Linked DNA regions of Nothobranchius furzeri. The protein of the gene in region 3 binds, or shares a complex with, the protein of the main gene of each other region. Links are inferred from orthologs where the notes say so. Each region holds a gene or a part of one and is shown on either strand. Other genes may lie near its edges.

What was found.
Region 1: the proteins of pola1 (region 3) and prim2 are in contact, whole or in part, in a cryo-EM structure (PDB 8G9F), measured with the Xenopus laevis proteins. The link is inferred for Nothobranchius furzeri from reciprocal best matches to the Homo sapiens genes POLA1 and PRIM2. Residues at the interface, in NP_001082055.1 of Xenopus laevis: Leu842, Lys853, Ile894, Pro895, Glu896, Leu971, His974, Arg977, Glu978, Leu981, His982, Glu985, Gln988, Lys989, Asn991, Glu993, Asn1007, Asn1009, Arg1101, Asp1102, Glu1106, Gln1109, Glu1221, Asp1224, Gly1225, Asp1227, Ala1229, Leu1230, Met1233, Trp1234; in XP_018121015.1 of Xenopus laevis: Pro34, Pro35, Thr36, Glu37, Asn38, Ile39, Ser40, Leu41, Ile42, Phe44, Glu45, Ile49, Ile107, Phe110, Ile111, Leu114, Cys117, Gln118, Ser119, Glu120, Asp121, Arg123, Ala240, Arg241, Leu243, Val245, Val246, Gln247, Arg251, Leu252.
Region 2: the proteins of pola1 (region 3) and prim1 are in contact, whole or in part, in a cryo-EM structure (PDB 7OPL), measured with the Homo sapiens proteins. The link is inferred for Nothobranchius furzeri from reciprocal best matches to the Homo sapiens genes POLA1 and PRIM1. Residues at the interface, in NP_058633.2 of Homo sapiens: Tyr439, Ala440, Pro447, Glu448, Lys449, Ser450, Phe876, Thr877, Thr878, Gln880, Leu906; in NP_000937.1 of Homo sapiens: Asn92, Thr93, Val94, Lys95, Leu96, Gly97, Ala98.

Annotation. Positions count from the first base shown.
Region 1 is NC_091752.1:19,604,020-19,607,667, forward strand, and holds part of prim2 (DNA primase large subunit), read right to left. Parts: intron 3,414-3,648; coding exon 3,228-3,413; intron 1-3,227. UniProt on the Homo sapiens protein: Regulatory subunit of the DNA primase complex and component of the DNA polymerase alpha complex (also known as the alpha DNA polymerase-primase complex) which play an essential role in the initiation of DNA synthesis.
Region 2 is NC_091755.1:56,472,041-56,476,460, reverse strand, and holds the start of prim1 (DNA primase small subunit), read right to left. Parts: upstream 2,839-4,420; 5' UTR 2,716-2,838; coding exon 2,607-2,715; intron 2,049-2,606; coding exon 1,891-2,048; intron 1,817-1,890; coding exon 1,710-1,816; intron 1,629-1,709; coding exon 1,555-1,628; intron 1,479-1,554; coding exon 1,342-1,478; intron 375-1,341; coding exon 316-374; intron 241-315; coding exon 131-240; intron 19-130; coding exon 1-18. UniProt on the Homo sapiens protein: Catalytic subunit of the DNA primase complex and component of the DNA polymerase alpha complex (also known as the alpha DNA polymerase-primase complex - primosome/replisome) which play an essential role in the initiation of DNA synthesis.
Region 3 is NC_091747.1:54,858,458-54,862,105, forward strand, and holds part of pola1 (DNA polymerase alpha catalytic subunit), read right to left. Parts: intron 3,096-3,648; coding exon 2,964-3,095; intron 1-2,963. UniProt on the Homo sapiens protein: Catalytic subunit of the DNA polymerase alpha complex (also known as the alpha DNA polymerase-primase complex) which plays an essential role in the initiation of DNA synthesis.

The DNA.
Region 1 (3,648 bases), on a different chromosome or scaffold from region 3:
CACATGACTCTACCCCAACAGTTCTGTGATAAGAAGGGAACTACAGTTAGGAAAATGAGTATGATTCAAATGTTGAAGCAGTGGGTGGGTGCACTGGGTAGCGGCCAGCGAATGCCAGCGGCAGCAACTGAATCCAAAATGTTGCCAAACTGTTAAAAGGTTTTTTGTAGGAACAGGCTTCTCCTCGACTAAATCTTTCTCGCCATCGCTGTCACTGTGAAGCTGTATGGGTGGTTATCGTCCATTTGCCGTTATCGAGGTGAAGTGCTCAGTATGTCATGATACTGATTTGTGGTCATATCACCCAGTCCCCGTTTGCACAAATATTATTCCCAATTATTGCTGGGAGCGTCGCTCCACGTCTCGGTAAACAAAAATGTTGGATGCTCAGCGATTTTGGTAGGTGGGAACTTGGAAGGTGAGGGGTGGTTCTATGTTAATTTACCGAATTGTTACATCACAATCGGGAAGTCTTTTTAATTGTCTCATTTTAGGCACATAATTCCTAAACCGAACAACTGAGAAAACAGACGAATGGGATTTTTTTGTTTCAGGTGTTTAGAAACCCACACGGCAGCACAAAAGACGCTAAAATAAGATTTTCTTATTTTCCTATTATTATTCTTAAAGACAACACAAAATGCTTCAGCAAATGAGAATATTGGAAATTAAATAGAAATGAAAGACATGCACACCAATCAAGCCCTAGTTTGCTTCAGATTAGACACAAGCAAACAAAAGTTTGTTAATGACGAGTCGATCCCATACTACCCAGAAAGAGATCAATTAAATCCATGTATTGATTTTATGTGATGTATGAATGTATCGGTGATGCTGTGCTGGGATAGAAGCCCTTGAAACCTCATGTCATGCACTCCATCTTTAGATCCCTCCAGTGTCATCCATCACTTTTTCATATTTTGTGCATTATCATGCAGAATGGTGTGGACATGGCACTCGTCCATTACCCGCGTGTTGGACATCTTTTCGCCTGCTTTGCATGCTCTGCTGCATGAGATTCACAAAACTGCTGGGCGTCCAACACTGCACAATTCTGATCCAATGGCAACTTGATCCAATGAGAACCGAGGCTAACGTCCAAATTGCTGCAGCAAAGCCTTTTCAGATCAGAGAAAATGCCTCTTAAGAGGTATCAAAGTCTCTTGTACAGCTAGGTTACACTGTTGGATATGCATGATGAGAGATTAAGGCTTAGAAAGAGCCCGACACAAAAATAAACAGAAAAAAGAACAAAAATATGAAGACTACTGAATTCAATACCCTCTCAGTAATCCTCTAAACAATGTCCTGAAGAAACCTGTGCACTCTTTGAAGGCCAAGGCTTTGCACTTTAGATGTGTAGTAAAATTTTCTGTCCTAAAACTCTTCAACAAACCTCACAAAAGGCAAAATTGCACAAATTAAAATACATCCATCAGAGAGATATGCTGACATAGTCACCTTGTACCAAATCTTTCAAGCAGCCTCTGACACAAAGACAACAGAAGCTGACTGCACTAAGTGACCTTAATCCATCAGAACATGCTTATATCGGGACCCTGATTCTATCTCAGGCATCAGATTGGATGAGACGTCTGTAAAAAGTTATCCAAAACCAACAAATGGTCAGCACTTTACTGGAAGAGCAGCTAATTAATTCTACTATTCAGCATCAGGAGTTGGAGCTTAGCTCAGCTTTCTGTCCAGCTAGCAGTGATGATTAAAATTAGGTTCATTAATCTCCCCTAACTTGAAAATAATGATAAAAATGAAAGCACTTGGCTCTAAATATTTTATTCTGTTTCAAATTTGATTCTGGAATGTTTGTTTCATGTGTCTCGCAAGTAATGTGTGGACAGCGAAAAGCGGGTCGTGTCATGATCACGTGTTCGCTGTAAATCTGAAAAAACTTTGGCGGCTGCTAGTCCGCTGGATTGATCACTGCAGCTCATTCCTGTTTTCTGTTGAGTTTACACCCTTGTCTGATAGTGGAGCCAACTGTGCACCAAACTATTTCCATTTTACTGTGAAATCAACTAACTTCAACCAATAAAAGGCTACAAAATGGCTTGTTTTGACTAGCATCAATGGATTTTCAACATGTGTAAACAGTGTTTCCACCATCTGTAATGGCAAAGGGGGTGGTCCCATGAGCGGCGTGACATCACATGCAAAGGGTAAATCATCAATCGTGTAATCGTTTCTGAAAAGAACATTATTGCACCAAATTATCAGCACCGTCTGACCACTAATGACCAAAAGCCCCCCGATCACAGCAGCATGTAAAAAGGAAACGACAACAGAGCTAAATGTAATTTAAATAATCTAAAAGTGCCCCGCCCTTTTGGTGTTTTGAACATTTCAAACAATATAGCAAAAAATTCTCCAGAAAAACATCTACGGGACTTTTAAACCACATAAATACAGTTTTTAAGTGTCTGCATCCTGAATAGAGGGAGGAAATGTATGAACAAAGTAAAATCTGAATCAGGAGCACGCCGACGATCAGCCTGGCAAGATGAAGAGTGTGATTTGTCTTTAATAGTCTTTGGTGTACAAACATGTTTGTAAAAGAAAAATCGATACAACCTGAGCAATTACCCATTTAAGAGGAAGTTATTTTCTTCAGTCAATAAAGAAATGCATTGACATTTATAAGCCCGGACTTTAGATCCATGTACGCGAGTGGAACTCGGTCAAACACATCTGCCACTGTCAAATGACTCAACTGAGAAAATTAACGCCGTACGTGTTGATGCCTGGAATACAAACGACACAATCTAGTCAGAAGTAGTTTTCTATAGAACGCGACAAGGCTTTCATGTAACTTAATTTTTAAAAGCAGTATAAGACTAATTGGCGTGATTCGTTTTGATTTGAAAAGCAGGAAATGATTTTTGTTCTTTAGGGTTGCTGCTGCACGCCGAGTCAGCGCCGTCTCCGTGGAGGCTTTCTTCATGCACAACTATTTAATTTAACCGTTTCTGTCTCCTGCAAGTTGTAATAAATTATACCCACTTTACTCTTCATTAGAGTCATATCACCACTGTGAACAAATAACACAGGTAAACTTTCTTCATTAAGTGAAGCTTTCTGAAATTAACGGCCTCCATCAAGATCTGAATAACAGTTGAGATGCAGAACCTTGTTCAGTCTTGCCGTGGTGTTTAACGCACAGATCAAACCAGTTTAACATTACAGGTAAATGCTTGTGAGACGTAAGTTACCTTGTCTCCATCCACTTTGCCCCTTATGAACTCCGACCTCCAGAACTGTAGAGCCTGCTCCAGAGAGAGGCCGATGCCTTTGAGGAAGAGACCGTACTGCATCCTCCCTCCGTGGCGAAGGTGGTGGTTCTCTCTAAGGGCCTGGTGGAGCTGCCTCATGCAGAGCGGGAATGATTTTCCTGAAAGCTAAAAGCCCTCAAATGTTAATGATTTGCATAAAGACATTTGCAGCAAACATGAATGTGTGCCTGTGAATGATTAGTAATATTAATAATAACACTGCTGTCATGGGAGGCACGGAAATCAATATTTTTTGGACCACCTTTGGCTTACATTGCAGCAACATTTTAATAGGCTTATGAAATGTCTTTTTCCATATCTGGGATACAAAATGAACCTTGAAGTTTGCGTTTCAACCAGA
Region 2 (4,420 bases), on a different chromosome or scaffold from region 3:
GTAACTCTTTTTTTACATGTACAGAACAAATTAAGGCCTCATAATTATCACTGCTTTTTAAAAATCATATCAATTCAGCTGGTTTTCATATTCAGGAAATTACTGAGCAAGCACGTTAGAGAAAGGATATCATCAGGAACTAGAGCCAGGACTTTGTCTACAGACTCTTTGCGGGCCAGTATGTCCTGATCCTGCAGCGCGTATTGAGGGAAGAAGTGCTCCACCACTGCCAAAGACTCTCTGGTGGGATTAGACACAGCTGAAGCCACAAACAGAAGCAGCAATGACAAAAACAACAGTCAAACGTATATTTACCTGATAAAGGGGTGAATTGGATCTGTCAGCACTACTTTCTTCACAGTATCTTCACCACCCTAAAAGGTTACATTTAGAAATCACATCTGGACATACAACTGTACTGTATGTTAGTCAGAAACCAATAAATAAGCAGCTTTTAGTTATGGGAGCAGCTGTTAAGTGGCTTTGAATTTGAACTTTAAAGGGGTTCTAGATAAAAGTAATTTTTTTAACGATTGGAAACTATTATTTGAGCCTTAATATATCCCATGAAACTTTGTTGGGGCTCAGGAACCCAGAAAAATTGACCAACGCACCCCAATAGCTTTATTTCTTGAAGCAAGTAAGTCTGTGACCTGTGTGTGAGTGTGTGTGTGTGTGTTACTATCAGTGCAGACAAACGAGTAAAGAAGTGAGTGTTTTCCAAAGAGAGATTCAAATGGGTTGAGGAGCAGGTTTTGCAGATAAACAAGCAGGAGAACAAGGACTGCAAGATGTGGATCGATCTGCCTATCTGTCTGTGTGTGTGTGTGTGTGTGTGTGTGGCTGTACTCTGTTAGACCAGATTGCAGGCTATGGATTAATCTAGCATTCATTCATTCACAATCTGGATACTCCCATTATATCCTGGAATGTGATTGGTGCTCCAACATTCTTCTTTGTTAAACCAAAACAATACGCAAGTGGACCAAACTGAAACGGTTCAACACCGCCCCGTGAACCATCACACCCCTAATCATGACCAATGATTAGGTTGGGACCTGCAGATTTTAGGGTGTGTGTCGTGCTAATGACGTGTTAAACCAGCTTTTCTCCAAACGAACCATTTCTCTGTGGCCGTTACAGCATTATTAATTTACATAGGAAAGCAGGTCAGCAACAGCACAGACATTTTGGTATGCTACACTAGACACCCCCAAGCTGCCTTTATCCAACAACAACAACCAGATAAATGTGGTTTTAAATTCTAGGACTGCTTAAAAGACTTAAATAATCTTGGAGTTTTGCTTTAAAATCACCTAATACCGGTAAAACCATTGCTACCTTGATCAGGCTGAGATATTCAGCCACAGCAGAGCGTGCTGCAGCAGAGAGCTTCCGGGCAGCTTCATCACACACCCAACAATGAACTCCCCTTCTGCCAGAATAAACCCACAGCAGGTGCTGAAAGCCAAAGTCCTCTGGGAGAAACATAAAAAATGTCAATCTGATTTGATTCAAAATAAACACATGCCTGACATAAGACCAGGGACACACCTCTGAGCGCTCTGTCCAAGATGCGGATAGCAATGGTCATCAGCGTCCAGCACTTGGTGCAAATGTCTGCAGCACTGGATCGAAGTTTGAAAAGGTCATTTTGGTAGATTGTCCTCCAGAACACTCTGAACAGGCTCAGAACTAGAAATAATCACCTGCAGCAGCTTCGGACATCATCATAATCTGTCATATCAATATCAAACACAAGTTCCTTCTCTAGAGCTTGGAAGCTGCCGGACTTCACCGTGTTGTGTTGATTAGGCTGTTGATGACAAACAGTGACTTTACTACACTTACACGATAGTAAACATGATTTGATCCAGAATAAAGTCTTACCCTGTGACTGTACACTGCTCCAATATCAATCTTATAAGGGTTCATCTTCTGCATTTCCTTCTCCAGCTCGTTCAGCGTGCTGAAAGACTGGTAGCGCACGTAGATGTCATCTTTGAGCGTGAAGCAGAACTCTCGGTTTTGGAAGTAGTTCTTCTGCACTGAGAATGTGGGAAAATGGACAAATAAACACTGTATGTGTTTATTTCATAAAGGCAATCAAGCAAAATCTGTCTCTTTTCTAATGAGTGACAAACTTTTGTTTAAATATCACATATAAAATAATCGCTGTAAAGTTTCATTACTAATAAAATCAACGTCTTCCAGAAAAATTTTACTTAATCTTATCTGAATTTATCAGTGCAATAAAATACGGTGACGTTTAACTACCCAGGCTTTATTGTTGTTTTTTTCAGGTCTTCATCAACTCTTGAATACTGGGAACAAGCTGCTTTCCTTAAATAAATTAGCAGCTGTCTTACTAAAGTGAATCCTTGTTTAAACGTAACATAAGTCAAACGCTCTGAAAAGCTCTGTAACAGTTGTAAATACATCTCAAATGTTACACAGGGGGAAGCAAACGTAAAATCCACAAACCCTGAAGTTCAGCATAGAAGGCTAGCTAGCCTAATTACATATATAGCTAGTTAAATCACAGAAGACAAGCTAACAGCCCGGTCTGACGCTTGCTCGTGGTTCTGGTCTGTTTGTGAAGTTACCTCCTCCGTAGGTAAGCCAGCGGTAATACTGGTAGAAGGGGAACAGTCGTCGGTAGTACAGCGGTAATAAGTCCGGCAGACAAGCGGAGTCGTAGTCTGAAGATGGCATTATAATGTAGTAAAGCCAAGCTAATGTGCAGCTAGGTATATGTTACTGCTGCTCTTCAGTCAAGCTGACAGCTTGGTTAGCTAAGGACAGCGCGGGAAAACTCGAAAGAAACAGTGATGACAAACAACTGCGACAACTACGTCACAAATAACAGGAAGTACCATGAAAACGTTTTATTTATTTTCCTAAACTAAAATAACATTACAGAGTTCAACTTGAATGGAACTCAAGGTTTTCTGTGAATAAAGTAAGACTATAAAGCGTTAAGTTTTTGGCCCTGGGTTGACTTTGGAATGGAGATGTCCAGTATATTTATGTCGATGGTAGGGTTTGCTTCTTTTGATTCGCCGGGCGGAAGTCAAAACGAGCGGGGAGGAAGTTGTATTTGTGATCAACTGAGAGGGGAAACTTCGCTAATAGAAACAGATGCAATATAAAACAATATTAACATCTCAAATAGCTTGCATGAATGTTTGACCAATGTGGCCTTTTCTATTTTTAACATTCGAGGTATTTATTGCTACTAGACTCCGCCCGCATGGAAGCGCGGCTAAAACCACCAGGAATTAAATGGTGCGAACTATGAAACCGCACCAACCTGTGATTTCAAAATAAACTTTTTGAGTCAAATTTGTGACATACGAAATTATATCTTTAGGATAAATCTGTTTTCATCACTGGTAATGCCATACTTGAATTACTGTGTGGAAGTTTGGGGAAACACATACCTGAGTAATCTACAATCACTATCCATGCTGCAAAAAATGTGTAAAGGTAAATCAAGAGCTACAAAAAACATCTACTGGATCATTATGTTGATGAGCTGGGTTAAATAGAATTATACAAGAAGTTGATTGTTGAGTATGTTTAATCTATTTGTTCTCTGTATTTTTGTTATTTTTATATAGATCCATCCATCCATTTTCTGAACCTGCTTGTCCATGCAGGGTTGCGAATGGGGGGGTGGGGGCTGGTGCCTATCTCCAGCGGTCAACGGGCAATCAGGCGGGGTATATCCTTGACAGAGAGCCAGTCCATCGCAGGGCAACACAGAGACACACAAGACAAACAATCACACACACACACACACACACACACACACACACACACACACACACACACACACACACACACACACACACACACACACACCTAGGGACAATTTAGACAGACCAATCAACCTAACAGTCGTGTTTTTGAACTGTGGGAGGAAGCTGGAGTACCTGAAGAGAACCCATGCATGCACAGGGAGAACATGCCAACTCCATGCAGAAAGTTCCCAGGCCGGGAAGCGAACCCAGGACCTTCTTGCTGCAAGGCAAAAGCTCTAACGACTGTGCCGCTGCGCAGCCTTTTTATATAGATATGTTTCATTCATTTTTCATTTATAGGCACCAGAATGCATTACCTGCACTTCTAATATTTACCTCTCAACGTAGGACTCTTTCATAAGGGTACATGCACACCGGTGGTTTTAACGGTTATTCATGGGGCAAAATCTCCGACATTTTTGAAAAAAAAAAATCCATCTGCCAGTAAAGCAAAGCATCCAACCCACCTCTCCAAATGCGTAAAATGTGCATCACAGCCGCTAGATGCGCCGCACGCACCATCAGGTAGGTCAGCCCAGACAGCAGAGCAAATAGAGAAAGAATAGAGGATAAGTCTGATGTGGATAGAGATTACATTTTACAGCAGCCTGATC
Region 3 (3,648 bases):
TTTGTGCTCCACTTGCAACGAGGATAATTATTTTTGCACGCTTTTTAATGTGCACACTTTAATTGTTGCAACAGACTTCCTGAATAAAAGAAATGGTTTAAAAATAGTTGCGGCTCTGAAGCGCTCGTCATCCAAACAACTGCGTATGCATTTCCTGGTTAAAGTTGAAGCCATAAATGGTAATTTAGGTATTATTCTGCCACCACACATCACTTTTTTCTCTCTGCACAGTGTGATCTCTGGCTGAAAATGTCAGCCCGCTGCCCTGCTGAGGTCTAACATCTCTGTGATGGCGTCTCTTAACATTACTGCATCTATTGCAACCCCTGTTGAGTTAAACACAGTTTAAACATTTCATACAGACACAAAGACATTTTATTATAACACACACTTTTTTTTTGCTCCGACCGTTTCAGCTTTTTTTTGTCCAGATGAGACCAAATTAATTCAAGAGTTTATGGATATTAATACTTATTGTGCTGCTGGGGTCTGCATGGAGCCTCTGTGGACTCAAATCCCATCAAATAAGAGTTTACGTGAGGATATCAGCGAGTTTAAACTACGGCTGTTCCGAGTGAACAAATTATGGAGTTACAGGTTAATCCAGAATTGCTTTATCCTCACTAGGGTCGCGAGGTCATTGGCTGAGAGGCCAGGGACATCCGGGACATAACGACATGCCAGTCCATCACAGGGACACGGAGACAAACGCACCAAGGAGAAGGGGCCTTGCCTGTAGAACGGCCTGGGAGCAGCTGACTTTTGAATGGAAAAAAAAAACTAAACATATCAGTTTACCTGTGTTTTGTTTATTCATTTAATAACTTTTACCAAGTCTTAACTCATTCTATTCTTTAATTGGGTGTTCTTTTTAGGAAAATTTGAGCAAAAACTGTTTTGCACCTTCTTATTTTACCTTTATATTAAGTTTCAAGGTAATAATAGTAAATCTCATTTTATTTAAAAAACTGGATTTTAATTTATTTTATAAAATACTTTTGGGATGTATTAACTGGTTGATCTAAATTTTGTGACCTCATTAATAAAATAGTTCCTTCCCATTCACTGCTTTTTTAATCCTTTAAAACTTAAAAAAACTTTTTTTTCTTAGTTATAAAAGTTTTATGGTTGATGAAGAACATTTGATTCAGTACTTTGCACTAAATCTCTGTCAAATTAAGCAACTCCAGCAGTTTTTTAACTGAACTTTTTCACTACCTTCCAGAATGAGTTGTTTCTTGGCTCTGTCACTTTAAAGGGACTTTACGGAGTTTTGAATTTTTATGCTCGCGATTGCCCCCTCGGGCCAAAAGCGTAACGGCAGCTTCAATAGTAGGCTCGTGCACGAGGCGCGCATGCTGTACGTGCACACTCCTTAACGAAAATAACAGCTGAGACAGTCAGCTCCATGTGTGTGTGTGTGTGTGGCCCGGAGGACAGGGGACAGGAGAACGCGCAGCTAATTAATTAAATAATTTGGTTCTGTACCTTTCTCTTCAGCACAGCCGACAAAGGTTTATGATGGGTCAGTCCTCCGGCATGCTCTTGAAAAATTGTTCCGAAAGGAAAGTTGAACCCACATCTTTTTATCTGTGAATTCAATGCCGTTCGGCGAGTCTCAAACAAAAATTTGGGCATCTTACTGTAAAAAATATACCATTAATGTAAAAAAGAAACTCTAAATAAACTATGTTCACATCCAGAATCGAACCCGGTCTTCTGCACGAAAGTCTGACGTCTTACTAGGCGAGCTAACGCGCTAGTGACGTCACTTGAATCAGTACCACTTAAGAATGGTTCGGAGGGCTATGCCTGAGCGTGAACGCGCATGGCCTGTATTTGTATTTGATATAGCGCCTTCTAGAGTCCTGGAAACCCCCCAAGGCGCTTTACAACACAATCAGTCATTCACCCATTCACACACACATTCACACACTGGTGGGGATGAGCTACGATGTAGCCACAGCTGCCCTGGGGCGCACTGACAGAGGCGAGGCTGCCGAGCACTGGCGCCACCGGTCCCTCCGACCACCACCAGCAGGCAATGTGGGTTAAGTGTCTTGCCCAAGGACACAACGACAGCGACAGACTGAGCGGGTCTCGAACCTGCGACCTTCCGATTGCGAGGCGAGCACTTAACTCCTGTGCCACCGTCGCATGAAGCAGCCTGCTCGACCCGAGCATCTCTCTTTTCTGTGATTTTACAGAAAAACAGGCAATCACAGTAAAAATGCCAGGGCTCATTCTGCAGGACCAGGGCATTGCAGGAGAATGTATGAAGAAGACATTTATTATTTCTATACATGTTATGGCTGTCAAACTTCCATAATGCCCCTTTAAGAAAACAAGCTGGAGTTGGCCACACCCACCCATTTCCCATTTAGCTGCTACAAGCCAAGAGACTCAGTAGAGCCGCTGCTCCTGCAGCAGCAGCTCTCTTACATGCAAGACTTCCCTGTTTGTGACATCACAAATGGGGACTTTTAGAAATTTGTTTAGGCTTATAATTCCTAAAACCAAACACTAACGGATGAGATTTTTCACATTTAAAGTGTTTACAGAGGCAGTAGAGACCCATGTGGCAGTGCAAAATGCAAAAGGTGATTTTTGGATCACATGTCCCTTTTAAATGATGATAATGATGAAGCTCTCAGCGGTCCTCACTACTGGTCCTGGAGAGCTGGTATACAGCTTGTTTTAGCTTTAACTCTGCTTCAACACACCTGATTTCAATCAACAAATGATTAACAGGCTTCTGAAGCACCTGATGGCCTGTTGAACAGGTGATTCAACCACCGAATTAGGTGTATTGGAGCAGAGAAACAAGGAAAACATGCTGGATACCAGCTCTACAGGCCCAGGAGTGAGGACAACTGAGCTAACTCCATGCAGAAAAGCTAAAGCTGGGACTCAAACTTGCAAACACGCAGCCCAGCTAACGAAGCATTTTGCTAATCACTCACAGAGTAGTATTTTTTGACGTGCCGGCGGATATCCAGAAGCAGCCTGTTGCTGATGTTGACGACGTAGTCGATTGGTCGACTCCCACAGGGGATGTGACGGCAGCGCGTCAAGCTGGGCTCCACTCTGTCACCCTGAAACAAAACACACCCGTCTAGTTAATATTCTGCCAGAGTTTTGGTGTTTTTTTTTTTTTTTTTTAATCGTAGATTAGTCCCATAATTGGTGCATTAAACAGCTTCTTCGTGTTGACGTCTTGTTTTAATCCAGGTTGGACGATGACTGTAGAGGTCATGTCAAGACTATAAATCTCTCTCTCTCTCTCTCTCTCTTCTCTCTCTCTCTCTCTCTCCTCTCTCTCTCTCTCTCTCTCTCTCTCTCTCTCTCTCTCTCTCTCCCTCTCTCTTCTCTCTCTCTCTCTCTCTCTCCCTCTCTCTCTCTCTCCTCTCTCTCTCTCTCTCTCTCTCTCTCTCTCTCTCTCTCTCTCTCTCTCTCTCTCTCTCTCTCTCTCTCTCTCCTCTCTCTCTCTCTCTCTCTCTCTCTCTCTCTCTCTCTCTCTCTCTCTCTCTCTCTCTCTCTCTCTCTCTCTCTCTCTCTCTCTCTCTCTCTCTCTCTCTCTCTCTCTCTCTCTCTCTCTCTCTCTCTCTCTCTCTCTCTCTCTCTCTCTCTCTCTCTCTCTCTCTCTCT